2 linked regions of the Coturnix japonica genome follow. The protein of the gene in region 2 binds, or shares a complex with, the protein of the main gene of each other region. Links are inferred from orthologs where the notes say so. Each region holds a gene or a part of one and is shown on either strand. Other genes may lie near its edges.

Evidence for each region.
Region 1: EIF3J (region 2) and EIF3M share a complex: the UniProt entries of both Homo sapiens proteins name them as parts of the eukaryotic translation initiation factor 3 (eIF-3) complex. The link is inferred for Coturnix japonica from reciprocal best matches to the Homo sapiens genes EIF3J and EIF3M.

The regions. Positions count from the first base shown.
Region 1 is NC_029520.1:4,352,645-4,360,496, forward strand, and holds part of EIF3M (eukaryotic translation initiation factor 3 subunit M), read right to left. Parts: intron 5,064-7,852; coding exon 4,980-5,063; intron 3,773-4,979; coding exon 3,673-3,772; intron 3,186-3,672; coding exon 3,104-3,185; exon of another isoform or gene 175-3,103; coding exon 31-174; exon of another isoform or gene 1-30. UniProt on the Homo sapiens protein: Component of the eukaryotic translation initiation factor 3 (eIF-3) complex, which is required for several steps in the initiation of protein synthesis.
Region 2 is NC_029525.1:17,934,101-17,942,478, reverse strand, and holds the start of EIF3J (eukaryotic translation initiation factor 3 subunit J), read left to right. Parts: upstream 1-3,674; 5' UTR 3,675-3,689; coding exon 3,690-3,843; intron 3,844-3,951; coding exon 3,952-4,052; intron 4,053-6,703; coding exon 6,704-6,761; intron 6,762-6,970; coding exon 6,971-7,062; intron 7,063-7,759; coding exon 7,760-7,874; intron 7,875-8,213; coding exon 8,214-8,372; intron 8,373-8,378. UniProt on the Homo sapiens protein: Component of the eukaryotic translation initiation factor 3 (eIF-3) complex, which is required for several steps in the initiation of protein synthesis.

The sequences.
Region 1 (7,852 bases), on a different chromosome or scaffold from region 2:
TTGTATAAAGTACTTTGTTACAGTTCTTACCATCAATAACAAATGCTTCTACATCATCAGCTCCAATCTGAAGTTCCTGTTGCATTGTGTCAAATGATATTTCTTTATTCTCTACAGCCATACCCATAAAAGTAAGTAGCCTCATTTTTGCCATATTCTGTTCATGCAACAAGCCTGTGTGAAAAGTATTGACAGTTTATGGATATTAATTCAATAATATCTAATTTGCTTTTCATGGTTTTTACTATATATCCTTGCAGTAATTTAGAATTTCACATAATGAAAACACCCTATCTGGCTTTATCAATGTTTTTTGAGGTAATATTTATTTCTGCATCCTCCTCGTGTTCTGCTAAAAACACCTGGTTTAGTTATTAATTCATCATGAAAATGAACATCCAAAAAGAGGAGAGTGGAGATTTTTTGAACCACTAAGGACATCATCTTTACAGAACTCGGGTGGTAAGAGCACAAGTGATGTTTTTAGTTGGATCAACAGGAAACAGAGCCATGCAATGCAAGAAAAATAACTGGTGATGTCAAAGCCTTCCTCCAGCCTCACTGCTCATTCTCAGGTAGGTGCTTAAAAAAACTGTAATGGTTCTGCAGCAAGTGTTCTTCAAGTACATGTAAAGAGATGCTAAGATGTGTCAGATCTTTTGCAGGGTAGCATGAATGGCAACACAAAGAACTGAACTTTGAGCTTGGCACATGGAAATCTGAGTTCTCACTCCTGTAAAAGTGCAGGCGAACAGAGCTGCACCTGGATAAGCCAAAGCCTTTCTTTATCAAGTTCTCCAGGGCACCAACTAAGCTTCACTGGAAGTTCCTTTAAGATGAATGGCAATCATTTGGTTTCGGAATGACATTATAAGCATCCACATGGCTTCAGTAAATATTTAAGTTTGGAATTTATAACATCCATACTCCAATAGGAAAGCACATTAGCAGAGGACATCATGTTGTGTTAATTAGCTGTAATTATGATGCAGGCTCCCTATTTGGCACCAATTCAACAAAAATGTGATCACTATAACTCATATGGATGAGAAGCATCAGAAAATATACCTAACCAAGTTTAATGGAAATCTACAAGCATCAAAAAATCAATTAGCGTACATTAACCCTAATTAACAAATGCAAATGAGATGCTGATTAACTTTCTGAAAAAGGCTGCTGATGATACCAGATTAAATGTGGCCATGTTAGGGCGATTCAGTTGACACAGATAATGCTACTGCTGGCCCAAGTTGTCAGCATTAATAAAACAACAAATTGTAACAAACTGATGCCACCTGTAGGAGCCTTCATTGCACATCTTTCTTGGACTAATTGTAATTGGTTCTGATCCAAGTAAAGCTAATAGTATTTTAGATCTGTTGCAAAATCAACAACATCCTTTTTTATTTTGAAGCTCAATACTTGAGAAAATGTTGAGGAAGAGAATGATTAAAAACACTTGTTTTGGGGAAGAGATCCAGGTGTTTCAGAGAATTGTTGAATGCCTCCTCTAACAATCATACTGTTTTCTATACTGATCTGCCTTTTTTCTTTTTTAAGGCATAGGTGAAAGACGTAGAACAAGTTCCAAGCATTCCAGTTTGAACTACTTCAGAATCTCTACCTCCTTCATAGCTGAAAGACAATCAAAACTCTCTGAGTGTGCCATAAAGGTGAGAAATCAAGGTAAGGGGAAGGTTGTTTTACAAAACAGCTATACATATACTTAAGGATTTTACTAGTATAACCTGAATACCAGACTTATTGAAAAGATGTAGACCTTGTATTCATGGAATTAAACACAGACACAGGAAGGCAAAGAAAAATAAATCGTGATTATTGTATGACGTACAGATATAACTGTGTTTTCATCAAATACTTCCATGGGTAAGTACTGAACAGATAAACCATTTCAACACATAAAAGTAATTTCTATATATATATATGTATATATATAAAAAAACAACCCCTCTCCTCTTAGAAAGTATGAAACATCCTTATAGTTAATGTTCAGATAAAAAGACAAAAGATAACACTATCCTATACACACAGTTACAAACTACTGAAAACTTACTGATTTTTATCTTAAAAACCCCAAAAACTATCATTTTAGTACTCAGAATACCAGCATTTTTAAGCTCTGAGCATAATTATTCTCAGAATTAGACCACGCTTCATTAAAAAAAATAATGCCTATGTTAAAAGGCTGCACTAAACTCAGTTTTTTGTACAACTGTGCCTTTATTCAAATGCATTCACTTTGTGTTCAAGTGTCATTTCAAAATCAAAGTTATAAAAAAAATAATAATCAGATTTTTATGGAAACATTTATTCATTACTAATATGTCAAAACCTTAATGCAGTAATAAAAAAACCTGCATCATTGAGCAATTTCTGCATTGTCACTGACCCCTGTCCTAAAAAGCTGGAATATAAAAAACGTAATTTTAATGCATGCAATAGCTTATGAACCAGTGCTCCTTTGAAACAGTCAATTACACATCCACGGGGGAGTGTCAAAGTGTTAATTACTACTCCTTTTTTCCACAGTGTGTAAATAAAGAGGGTGCTGACATTAACATTCCATCACATTGCTTCATGTGATGAAACAAATTAACTGGGACAGACTGTGACTTGCTAGGTCTAATGCATCAGCACATGCACACACACGTACGCTAGTCTGCATGTTTTACCTTACTGTTCAGGGGAAGTATTTGAAGTATTTGCTGTTATGAAGTTAGTGTTTTTTAAAATGCTCACTAAGAGTTTTATACAAGCTGCTGTCTCACTTATTGAAGTTGTCATCTCCGACCCAGCCTGATGTACCAATGCACTAAATATCCCCTCCAAAAGGGTTTAAATGAACGAAGCAGAGAAAAACAGATTCCTACTTGAAACCCTCAAAATAGTTTGTCCTAGCATAGATTACAAACCACACGTAGACAGTCCATTTCAAGTCTAATCCACTGTTTAGGAAAAAAAAATGACACCAAGAAAAAAATCACTATTAAAATTGTCTTTTGGTATTTGGGTTGGAACTGAAGTCCTTTGTCGGTTCCATTATCATAAGCCATGACAGAAACATAACGACTTGAAAACTTACCAAGTGAGTCAATGAAGTCTTTGTTGTTCTGATAAAACTTGACATAGGATACTAGTTTAGCGCTTACAAAAATTGTCAAAAGCTGGAAGATGGAAAACAAATGTAAGAACAGTTGAAAGATTTTCTGTTTCCCCTCTTTGGAGAAAGCACAGACACATGAAACACTGCAATTTCTATTCATAGTGGAAAAAAAAACCAACAAACCAACAAATAAACAATCCCCAAAACAATAAGTTTACAGTTCTTAAAGTCTCCTGCTGAAAGCCAAGGGCAATCTGTGCTGTGATTATTTTCTCAGATCAGAAAGGCAGTTTTGCCAAAAGAATTTACAGTGAAGGTGCAACTTGTAACTGATTTTCTGAAGCTTCTAGAGGGGAACTTTCTACTATACATTTACATGTAAAATTTTAATTTTCTGATGCTAAGACCATTTAAAAAAAAAACAAACTCGTACATTGCAACTTGAGATTAATGACACAGCCCACTATTCCAATGACCTTCTAAAGACATTAATAAGGCAAGGACTTGGTAAGATATAAAACCAGCTTGCTAATAAGAAAGCTACTCACATCATGAATAAGTTCGCCCTCCAAAAATTTGACTGGCTTTAAGGCAAGAAGATGGTCAAAGAGAAAGGTATTTGGGTCTTTCAATGCTCGTACAATACATCTAATTAAAAAAGAGAAATGATTATTTTTACAGCAATACACATTTCAGATGCAACCCCATTTGTTTTTCTTTGCTTTCTAGGAGATATTCCAGCGTTTTTAACTACACTTAAATATAAGGCATGTCACATTCCTAAGTAACTTTAATCTTTGTTTCACAAATGGAAAAAAACAAGAGCAAGTGCTCAGTGCTTTGCCCCATATCACAATTAAGATTTGCCAGGTGGTAGGACTGCAGATGAACCTACTGTATCCAACTGTGCATTTATTACATTTACTTCCAGCCAAACCTTCATTCTTTGTGGTGTTTTTACTGTCCTCCTAAAATTTCATAGAATCAAGTCGTTTAGGAAGATTAATTATACTTGAACATGTGACATTAAGCAGAGAAAACCTCAATACCAAACACTGCAAGACCTATGATTTATCAGTTGCAGCTCCAGACTATAAACAGTCCTAAAGTGTTTCTAGAACTCTAGATGAAAGCATTTGCTCAACAGCACATTAGAAGTCTGTTAGTGCTATACACTAGTGCTGATGGCCTAGAGCGCGACCCTGCCACATAACACACACCCAGAAGAACCTGAAGTCTACCTTGACACAGCAGTGTGGTCAACTCTAAGCAGGGATGTTCTTTCAGTAGTCACTGAGGTTTTTATTTACTTATGCAAATGTTTTAATTTACAAAATAAGTCCTTCTGGTTCTCCTGCAAGCTTATGCACAAGCTAATACACACAGAGTAGACCTATGTAACTTATTAAAGATCTAAGTCTGTCAGAGTGATGCAGGCAGAAGGCAAAATTTTGCCTGTAAGTAAAGCATATCCACCAAGTGGTTTTATTTTTTTCCATATCCTTAGTAGTATTTGCTCCTAGAAATAAGAGCAATAAAAGAACATTAAAGTTCAAGATTCAAATAGGCAGCAAGTAAAAAAAATCCCTGAAGTACAGGAAGACAATTCAGCTTCTGATACCTGATGTAAACAACCTATTTTACTAAGGTTCAGCAGTGAGCAGAACTATTCCTGAACGCTTGCACAGTGGAGTGAATGTAGAAACACCCAAACCTGCCACAGGTTGTAAACTCTTCATCAGGTCAGCTACACTATAGAAAAAAGGCCCCTGCCAAAAGGCCATTCCAAACTCTTTAACATAAAGCAATCAACAGAATACTGCAATACAGTTAAAAACTGGGAAGTCGGTGTTACCTGTGAGCATCAACTCTAGCCTGGGAAGCATTGTCCTCTGTGTAACTCCCCAGTAGTTCCACCATGACTTTTGCTGCGGTGTCACTGAAGAATAAAAATAAAGTCATCTTAGGATAGCTAAAAAAATAGTTCCAACACATTCAAATGTTTAAATAATCCCATCACGATGTTGCAGGTCAAATTAAATTACACTCGAAAAGATGTAGATGATCCATTTTAATTCTAGTGGAAAGAACAAATTAACTAGATGTATTCTTTCAATTCTTGTTCTACAAAATGTTTATCTTCACCCTTCATTTCATTCTCTTAAATTGATAAATTACCTGCTGGTTATGGAAAAAGCTTTCTGAGCTCGGAACAGCTTTATATGGTTCACTAGAATGCTCCTCTTATGCACATCTGGATTTAATCACTGCAGAATAAGTAGCACTGCAAAGTTTATTTCAAATGTAAAATGGCATATCTTAAAGGATATTTATGGTCAGAAAAATAGCTGTGTAAAAGCTCCCTTTTCTTCTTTCACAGATTGTCTCTAAGTGTTCAGAGTGAGAGCTGCTCATTTAACTGAGGAAGTGGCCAGCAATTCAAGCAACTCAGACTGCCTCGAAGCAAGTAGCTCCCAGCGCTGCGATGACAGACAGCTTTTAGAAAACAGGCATTCGTTCTAACAAAATGGAGTAAACTCTGAGCCTCGTCTACCCAGATGTTTTAAACAGCACCTCAATGTTACTGCAAGCCATCTCCAAACAGACAAGAAAGAGACTGTGTCAATTAATTTCTATTTATTTTTATGTATCAGTTCTCACCACGAGTGATGCCAGCAAATTCTGGTGCTTCTTTACAAAGCTCTCAGCAGGAAAACAGAACAAGAAAAAAAGCATCATCAAAAACAACTTATTACCTATTTTTATGGCATCCTCACTAACTACCAAAAGATGGTAGCTGCGATAGTTTGTCCAGACAGATAACAGATTTCACTGATGCCTCCTTAATACTTCGTATTTAGACGTGGCCTACCACGTCTGTGTGTAGATACAACCATTATCTGATAATAAGAGTGTGAGCTTTGCTGAAATTCCCTGTGCATGCACACAGACTGGCTTCGGTGCACATATCCTTGGGATCCTCTTTATGCAGAAGTACTTTCTGAGGGGACAGGAAGGGAAGATACTGTTCTCTCTGAGCTACAGCGTAAAGCTCAATTCTTCCTTTAAAGTATGTCAACTGCAGAGATACAGCAGATTTCCCCCATGAAGAAAATTAACAGTATTCCAGTCAAAACATATATACAATTGCAGCGTAGTAGACCTACCAAGTTTTGCTTAAATCAATTTGAGACTTTATTGTTACACAGTTTATTCATTTAACTACTTAAAGTAATGGCAGATGTTGCACAAGAGAGGACTAAACCTGCACAAGGCTATCAGCAGGTACCACGCTCATATGGAAGTAACTAAGTAGCAGCACAAGCTACAATAAAAAAAAAAAAGTTTTTTATGTTTTCAGTTCAATGACTGTATAAGTATTTATCATAAACCTCATAGAACTGCTATTTGACATCTTCTCTGTAGAGTGAAGTTCTGTGCTCCTAGGTTGATGTTTTGATGTTTTCTGCTCCCAGCTGTCACAGATGTGCAGTGCAAATATTCAGACAGTGTGGGAAGCAGGAATTATCTGTAATTGAAGAGGTCAGCCTATGCCTTGTCACGGCACCTGATGCTGGTGTGTAGAAGAACAGATAGCCACATAATAGTGAAATGAAACAAATTTAGATGGCTTTGCACATGTGCAGCATGTTTCATACCAACACAGCTAGGAAAAAGCTGAATATTAAGCAAGCTGATGTAGAAAACAACCAGCAAACCTTTATGGCAAGAATCAGGAGTAGCAGAGAAAGTAACTTACCTCTGGCAAAGTTCATCTGCCAAATATAAAAACCTAGAAACATGCGACACCAGCTATCAATTTTCCAGCTGCCCCTACCAATTTTTCTTTATCTGACCAATGGAAAGATAAGAGCCCTTCCTCAAAGAGCTCAAGATGATTTTGATCATCAGAAAAAAGAAATTTCAATCAGAATGTGACTGGAAAAGACTTGATAAAACAAGCTTTTCAGGAGCTGTTTGCTACCAAGCTAACCACGGGGGAAAGAACTCTGAGGTCTGGAAAGCCATCTCTTCTGCCATGTTAATTGAACTTAAAACATAAAGGAAGCCAAAGAACCGAGATTCCATTCCTTTCAACAATGTTTTTTTTTCCTTGATTATAAATCAACAAAGTAACTGAGGTATGATTTTTATTGCTTATTTTTCAGTTCCCACTTATCTTCCCATACCGCTACACCGAACAGCATTCCTGTGTGCTAAAGCTGGAATGCTGCTGTGAGTTTCCCATACTATTGCAAATACTGCCCACTGATCCAGGAGAGTGAACCAGGTCAAAGGTGCAGGGGTCACTCCTTGTTTTCTTTCCTGGAGAAGAGCGTAAGTGCTCTGAAAAATTGCTCCATTCACTGCAAAGCTCACTGCAACAGATGGTAAGGACACTGAGTGCAGAGTAATATATTACAGAGTTTGTAGATGTTTTCAATGCCTCACTTTAAAAAATATTACTTGTAAGCAAAAACATCTTTTTTTTCCCCTGCAATTGGGCAACTATCTGCTAAATAACCTTGGTAGTAAGCTTACTCATAGCACAGAACAAAAGCTAGAAGTTTAATTCACATATTTTGATATTAAGACTAGTTAAAACATAGTTAGCTATAACATATGGGAATTTAGCTAATTAAAACCTCTGAATAAATCAATAGGATGAGAAATGTTTTAGAAGTAAGAGCGTTACAGATTATCAGTATAATACTTTAAAACAGAAGT
Region 2 (8,378 bases):
TTCCTATGCTATGTGGAAATGGTCTTTAAGCCTTGGTTCTCTGATGCAGCTACTACAAGAGGTTGATATTTTTATAATGGCGCGTAACCTCCTGTTGAGGAGGCTTTTTATGGAAGGTATAATTTGTAAAAGTGAGGGTGCTGGCCTCTCGACTGCATGGACACGCCACAGGCTCAGACTGTTGTTGTGTGAAAGATGTCACAGAACGGCACTTTTTCTAAAGAGAAGTTCGATATTTTGTATGCTTGTTAAGAAAGTACAGTATTGGAAATTAAAGGTGGACAACCGAGAATTGAGAAGTATGTCAATTAATTTTTTATGTATATTACCTGTTTACTTGTACAATTTTATTGTACAAATTACATGCAGCTTCATTTTCAAATGAGTCCTTAAAGTAAGGAAAATCTTTTTAGGAAAGCATTTACTTTTTGTATTTTTGATTTTAAAAGGCATGAGTTATGTCAACTTTTTCCAGTGTATTAATGAAGATTTTAACTTTTCATCAGGTTGAGTGTTTTCTTACTATCTGACCCGTTGTGTAAGTAGCTATAGCACATTGTGTCACGGAACTGGTGAACAAGATTAGCATGTAGAGCAAGCCTGCTTTGTGGAGAATCCTTCTTCATTACAGAAATCATCGTGGCAGAATTTCTGCAAAAGAAGTGAGAACATTTGCGATCCACAATTCTTGGGGGGGGGTTTTTTGTATTTAAAGAAGGGTATTTTGCTTGCAGGAAAGAAATACTACAGATTCATTTTAATGAGAATCTTTTAAATGTATTTATCTTTAGGGCATCCGGGCATCTTTACACTGTTTGTCTTTATGTCTTTATTGAAATAAAATGTACATAACATGACCTTTATAAATGCTTTTGCGCAGACGTGTGGAGCTGTACCCATCCCCGCCCCCCGTTTTTATGTTGATGACATGGTTCTGGAAATATTTGTACGTTTTGGAAACGGTCGGCTTGTATTGGAATTGCTACATGGTTTGCCAACTATTTTTTAGCTGTTCGTTAAAATGTAAATCTGAGATTTTTAATGAGTTTTAACGGCGAATCCTTGTTTAACGTGGAGTTCTTCCAGATTTCTTTGGGTAATTTACACCGTAGGACTGCTTTACACATCACTACGCTACCAGAAGGATCCCATTTCTGTTCAGTAACTCCTGGCTGTTCTCTGACTGTACAAAGAGATGATCGTCTGTTCACGTAACGCCCCCGCACACGTGTGTCCTATCTGTGGCAAAACCCATTATAAAAGTGCTTTCTTTAGTTAAGGAAACCAAAGCATACATTGCACTTTACAGCTGTATCTGTGTTGTGATTATCAGATCAGTGAGGGAAATGGAAATGTAAATTGGAGGGTTTAGTTCTGCATAGATGCACAACGGAAATTACGGCGACTGCTTAGTGAACATATTAAATATGAATATTTTAATGCGCTGCAAGTCTGATATTTATCATTCTGAACTTTCTTTGCAGAATGAGTCCACCTTCAAAACGCAACTTCCTAAAATGTCAAACCTGCCATAAAACCCGAGTCTGTGCGTGAAGCAAAGCTCTGTTGCTTCAGCTTTGGTTTTCATCGCTGGGTCTCGAGGCTGAGGCCTCACTTTGGCTTCAGCCTGGACCCAGTTGTGCACGCTGGTAACCGAGGGAGGCTCAGCTGCGCCCGTTACCTGGGGCTGAATGTAGAACTGTGCTGCTTAAGCAGTTCATCTTGTAGCTCTGTCGTTTATTCCCACTTTATGGATGGTTAGGGAACATCCTATTCCCAAAGTTCTTAATGGTTTCATTTTTGTCTACGGCTTCGTTTGTGGTCTTTGATTATGGCAGCTGTTTGCTAACTGTGCGTGCTTGTCTGTATTCTGTCCTGGGTTTGAGTGTTTTTCGTTTGGGCAGCAAAACAACAATATTTCATACTTCTGTTGCTGGCTGCTTTCCCACCTTTGGTTCATTTCTCCTTCCATCTCTGTAGGAAAATATTTTTGTTGTTATTATTCAGATGTATCTGAAAACCTGAATGTTTCACGACCTGGTCAGACATCTGCCGGAGGAAGAGTTGAATGTGTGTTATAAGGAGGCGCTTCTTTAAGCAGAGCACTAAACGTGTTGTTCAAATAACCAGACGTGGAAGTGCAGAGCCACGTTCCTCCGTTTGTTTTTTTTCCTTCTGGTTCTGACTTCCTTATAGCACTGCATTGCGAATCATTACCTTTATTCTCTGTCTAATCAGCCTGAATCAGCCAGCACCTGTTAGTGTAGGCATTAAGGTAGATGATGGCACTTGGAACTTCACAAAAGAACCGAGGAAGGCCCCATTAGTGTTGGGGTGTCCGAACTGCGGCTGCAGGATTCCCTGTGTTGTTCCATTCTTCTGAATGGGGGGCTGGATCAGCACTGAACACACTGGGGAACTAGGAGAGTTATCTGTGCCTTCTCTGTCTCCTCTCCATCCTGTGCTCCCATTGCCTTCCATGTTAAGGACTTGGAGAGCACACCTTTACAAAGCTAAAGTTCCAGTGTCAAATGAATGTTTGCACAGTTGCAATGAATCCGGTACGTCTGGCCAGATGGAATGGGTTTCAGGAAGTCGAGGCCAAAAAGTAAACGCTCACAACATGTTGTCATTGAAAGAAAAGACCAGGCAGCTCCTGGTGCGATATCAGCGCGGCTGTTAGGTTTGTTCCAATAAGTGCAACGAGAAACTGATTGCTATGACATGAAAATAACGTCTTCCGCTGTAAGTAGAGTTTCAAGTCAAGTGTGGGTTATTTTGATGGGGAAAGGACTTGGGTCTGCGCAGCAAAGCAGGCACGTGGCTCAGCCAACTCCATGGAGCTTCTGTATCATTATCAGCACCTGAGACAGGTGGAATCGAACGATGAGAGTCAGGCTGTGCTCTAAGGGCTGAGCCACCGCGTCGCTGCAGATCCGCACCTTGGGTTGTGGGTGCTTAAAGAGAATGGTTCACAAGTTGCTAAATGGCTGATGAGAAGTAGCATAGGTGCGTTGTTTTCTTAGCTAGTTGTCATTATTTTGTACAAAAAGATCTATATAAATTAATAAAAAAAAAAAGCAACTTCTTTGTTTGGAAGCAAGGAAGGCTCGGCAAGGATTGCCTTGTACAGGTTCTGTTACGCACATCACTATTTGGGTTGTCTTGACTGTGTAATGTAATACTGTTTTGCTTTATTTTTTTTATACTTGCAAAGATGTCATTGTACCGATAGGCTGAACCTTGTAAAATACAAATGGGAGAGAACCAACGTCCTACAGAGCTGTGGTTTTTTTCTGCTGTGGTTTCAGGATATCGAATCCTACAGATTTCTATTAAATATTTATACTCCGGTTGACGCTGTGATGGTCTGTAGCTCTGAGCCCTGCCAGCTCCACTGTGCAGCCCAGGGGCTGCCCGGCCCAACGCCGGCACTTCCAGCCGCCTCAGCTGCGTTTCTGCCCCGTGTTCCTGAGGTGATCCCCGTCCTACCCAGCACCGAACCGCCCACCCGAGCACAGCGGGCCGGGACAGCCCCGGCACGGCCCGTCCAGCCCCGGCACGGCCCGTCCAGCCCCGGCACGGCCCGTTGTACCGCACGGCGCCCGGCCCGGCCCCGCCCCGCCGGGGGGAGCGGCCTGTCAGCCCTCCCAAGATGGCGGCGGTGCCGTCACCTCACCCCTCCCAAGATGGCGGCTCGGCCCCACCTCATCCCTCCCAAGATGGCGGCCGCAGGGGCGGGCCGTGCTCCCATGGTGCCCCGCGCGCCGTGCGCTGAGCTGCGGCTGAGTCAGCTCGCGCCGCGCTCCCGCGGCAAGATGGCGGCCGAGGCGGATTCCTGGGGTAGGTGTCGGCCTGGACCCGGTCCATCCGTTCCATCCGTTCCATCCGTTCGGTCCGTCCGGTCCTCGCTCCGCTCACCCGCTGTCCTTTCTGCTTCCCCCCACACAGACGCCGACACCTTCGAGGTGGTGGAGCCGGTGGCGAAGCGGTTGGTGCCGGGGGTGGCCGGAGATCGCTGGGCCGGAGAGGACGAGGACGACGACGTGAAGGTGCGTCGGGCCGGGACACTCAGCGCCGGGTCGGGCCGCTCCGATCGGATCCGGGCCGTGATGCGCTGTTGGCCGTCGGGTGTTGTTCGCTGTGGGGCCCGGGAGCCGACACGGCCCGAACGCGGCTCCTGGCGCGGTCCGGTACCGCTGGGCCACGGGGAGCGGAGTCGGGCCGGGAGCGGGTACGGGGAGCCGGGCGGGGAGGAGCCGGAGCTGCGGGGGGTGTCACGGTGCTGCCAGAACCGAGCGGGGCTGCAGGGCGGGATGGCGGCCACGGGCTGACGGAGCAGCGCTGGGATGGGGGGTTTGAGGCGCTGCAGCACGTGGAGGCGGGAGGATGGAGCCGGGCTGCGATACAGCGAGTGACTGAGCTACAGCGAGTGACTGAACTACAGCGAGTGAATGCACTACAGCGAGGGGCTGCATTACAACGAGGGGCTGCATTACAGCGAGTCTCCTGCCGCCTGGCCCCGCTGTGCTCCCAGCACGGAGCTCTGTGTGCACAGCAGCCGGGCAGCACGTGTGGGTGGGATCGGGATGGAAGGAGCCGAAGCTCACAGCAGCGTTTTGTGGCCGGTCCAGCTGCTGTCGGGGCTGTGACACGCAGCGGTGCAGCTCGGGGTGTCGCCTGGTCGCCACGTTGTGGTCGCTGGGTGAAGCCCTGCACGGTGCTGGGTGAGGGCTCAGTGCTCGGCTGGGTCGGGCTGTGCCGCTGTTTGGAGGATATTGGAACCACCAGCACCATTGGAGCTTAGGGTGGAATTCCTTCTGTGGGCAGTGTGAGAGCGTTCCCTTTATAAAGAGATACTTGTGTGAGTTAGGAGCTGTCTGTTCTGCTTCTGAAGCACAGTGACACCACACCCTGTGGTTATCACTGCTGTGGCATTACAGCACACAAGGTGAGTGGGGGTATCTCTGTGAGCAGCGTGGTTACAGCGTCACTGGATGCACGTATGTGACACTGGCTGCAGTGTGTGCGTACCTGTGTGTGTTTATATAGAACACATACAGAGCGCTGGTGAAGTTTGCTTTTCTGCCTTCCTTTGGAAGTGAGGAACCTTCCTGGTATCCAGCGTGTCCAGGAGAACTGCTCTGTGGGGTGGTGCTCATAGGGACAGCTCTGCTGTCATAAAGGAGCAGCTCCCCGTGTGCAGCAGTTTGGCTTCCTCCCCCTTTCTCGGGGTCACACTATTAGTACCAGAGCTGCACCTGGAGCTGAGGGCTGGATGGCAGATAGGAGTGTTTCATTTCCATTTGCTCGTTGTTTAAATGCTGGAGATCTCAGGGCTGAGCCTGGGAGGTGGATACTGGAGCTCCTTGTTTGCCAGGGTCAGCCTTGGAGTATGGATATAAGGGAAAGATGTGAGCGCGGTGTTTTGCGTGTTCATGTTCTTGCTTTGTTTCCTACATACTCGGATCCTGTAGTTTGTTTTGCAGTTGTTTTGATCTTAAAGTAACCCCAGAGTTCAGGAAACATTGACTTCCCCGGGTTTCAGATCATCATCTTCATTGGTAACGCAGCTGCTCTCAGCTGTTACCGGGCACAGCTTGCCCAGCAGACAGGCCTGGTGCCAACAGGGTTCGCTCTATTTATCCCTGGGCAGCTCTTGGTTGGAGGCTGTGCCCTGGCTCAGTGTCAGTGCTGGAGGAGGAGAGATGGGGCTCAGCTCCTGCTCCAGCTGCAGCGGTGGGAGCAGCTGCTGCACACTCACCCCTTGCACACTCACCCCTTGCACACTCACCCCTGCTCACTCACTCCTGCAGTGCTGACAGGTGCTTGGAGCAGCTTTGGGGCGGGTTGTTCCCATCTGAAGGCAGCAGTTGTTGGAGGAGGCGGTCGCTTCCTGCAGCCCCGTTGGTACTCGCTGCCCTCCTGCTCTGTGTGCTCGATCTAAACCCCTCCGTGCAGGCTGGGCACCGAGCACAGCAGTGCTGAGAATGGCTGTTTAAGAAATGGGTGTAACAGGTTTAATTAGATACGAGCTGAATGAGCGCTGCTGCAGATTCAAGTCAGCCTCCTGGAATGTGGATGGAAGCCGGCTCTGCCACAGGTGCGGGTTGGCCCAGGGGAGCTGTGGGGATGCGCTGTGACGCCGCGTTCCTCCTCCGGGTAAATGGCTGCTCTGAGTGCTCACGTTTCTGCTCTGAGGCCCAGCTGGGGATTGTGGTTGTAAAGCTCACCCATAACGTGTGCATGGCCTGCGTGGCTTCTGTGCAGACCAGGCCCTGCCAAAGGTGAGCTCTTAAGCTTACAGGTTCCACTCGTGCTGGTAACTCAAAGTAGATTCCTGGGCCATTTCTTGGCTTTAACTTGTGGTGCCACATGTACCTTCAGGGCTGTGACAAAGCGCTGATCTGTACACAGAGGGCATCAGTGGGACCTGGAGGGGCACCAGGGGAAGAACACGTGTCCATTAATGATACCCAGCTAATTGTTGGGAGGGGGCTGCACAGCTGACGGCACTGTGCTCAGCTCCCAGGTCAGAGCCCTTATTTTACAGCTCCAACAGCTCAACTCCCCACTTCCTAACTCAAATGAATGGATTTGAGAGCATTTAAAAAGGCCGTATGAAAGCTGCTGTCCTCTGCGTTTGCCAAGTAGAAATACGTAAAAGCATCAACATGTGTCTTAATGAAGACTTCCTTTGTAGGATAACTGGGATGATGAGGAGGAAGAGGAGGAAGTCAAGGAGACGGAGGTGAAACAAGGTGAGGCTGACCAGGAGCGACCTCAGTGTGTGCAGCTCCCGCTGCTTTTGTCTGTCTGCCCTTGTAGGGCTGGTTTGGGCCTTGACACAGTGTGGCCTCTGCCCCCCATCAGTGCTGCCAGCTCAGCTCTGCTGCTCTCTTTGATTTCTGTTTTCCTGGTTACTCAGAAACACTGTGGGATCTCAGGAGCTGTTTTGTTCAATTTACAGAGCCCAAAGTGTCAGAAAAAAAGAAAATAGCAGAAAAGATAAAAGAAAAAGAAAAACAACAGAAGAAAAAGCAAGAGGAGCTGAAAAAAAGGGTAATTCCTGTTGCTTTGTGGGCTGGGGAATGTGGAGCTGTGTTGGTTGTGGGTTGTGTGTGGGGGCTGAGCAGGAGCTGTGGGGATCCTGGGCTGGTGGGCTGAATTGAATGTCAGCTGTGTGCTGTGCACATGGGGCTGGTGGTGATAATAAGGTCTGGGCTGTCTGAGGGGAAAGGGAGGGACACCAGGGTCAGGTCTCACTGCGGGGATCAGGGGGGAAAGAGGTAATTGTCCACCCTGGGACAATGAGCTTTGAAGGGCAGCCTGTGCTCCCAGGGCAGTGCAGTAGTGCAGACAGCATCCTTTGTGAGAGCTGTGTCTTCAATGGTCCTGGAGCTGTTCAGGGCCCTGGGCTGCCCCGTCTGCTTTGAGATACAGAGGTTGGTGGCCCTGTTGGTGGGGGGGGGTTGGAGCTTCACGATCCTTTTGCTCCCATCCAACCTGAGCCATTCTGTGACTGTGTGTGTGCTGAAGGAATGGATGTGTCATTTCCATAACTCAGTTAAATTACAGAGAAATTAAACAGTTGGCGTTGTTATGATTAATTGGGATGGTTGTTGGGGCTGTGCACACTTGGAGCTCTGACTTCACACAGAAGGTTCTCAGATGGCACTGGAATAAACGTGGTTTCTTGTAAGCTCCCCTCAGTGTGATGTTCCCCTGTTACCGGGTGTTCGTTTTGTTTTAAATGCAGTTAGAGGCTCCAGAGGAACATAAAGAACTTACACCAGAAGAACAGTTAGCAGACAAACTACGACTAAAGAAATTGCAAGAGGAGTCAGACCTGGAGTTAGCAAAAGAAACGTTTGGTGAGTGTGTGCTGTGCCATGGCAGAGCTGTCAGCTGTGTGCAGGCCTGCAGGGCACTGCTGGGGTGCAAAGAACCAGGGGGATTCTGCACAGAGGGACTCGTTTAGAACTCTCTGTTAAAGGAAGGAGGGCTCTGCAGCCAGCACTGCCCAGAGCACAGTGAGTCTGTGGCCCTGCGGGTTGTTAACGTGGCCGTGATTTGTTTGCAGAGGACGGGGGTTGGAGGAAGTTTGGTTTGGCGGTGCTTGATGAGACAGGGACAACTGAATGGGTTTTGCTCTGGTGTCATCTTTCAGAGCCCGCAGCCAATGCGTTGTAACCGTGTGCCTTCCCTCGCAGGTGTAAATAACACTTGTGGAATAGATGCCATGAATCCCTCTTCAAAAGATGACTTTACGGAATTTGGCAAGCTACTAAAAGAGAAAATCACGCAGTATGAGAAGTCCTTACATTACGCCAGCTTCTTGGAAGCGTTAGTTCGAGACGTTTGTATTTCATGTAAGT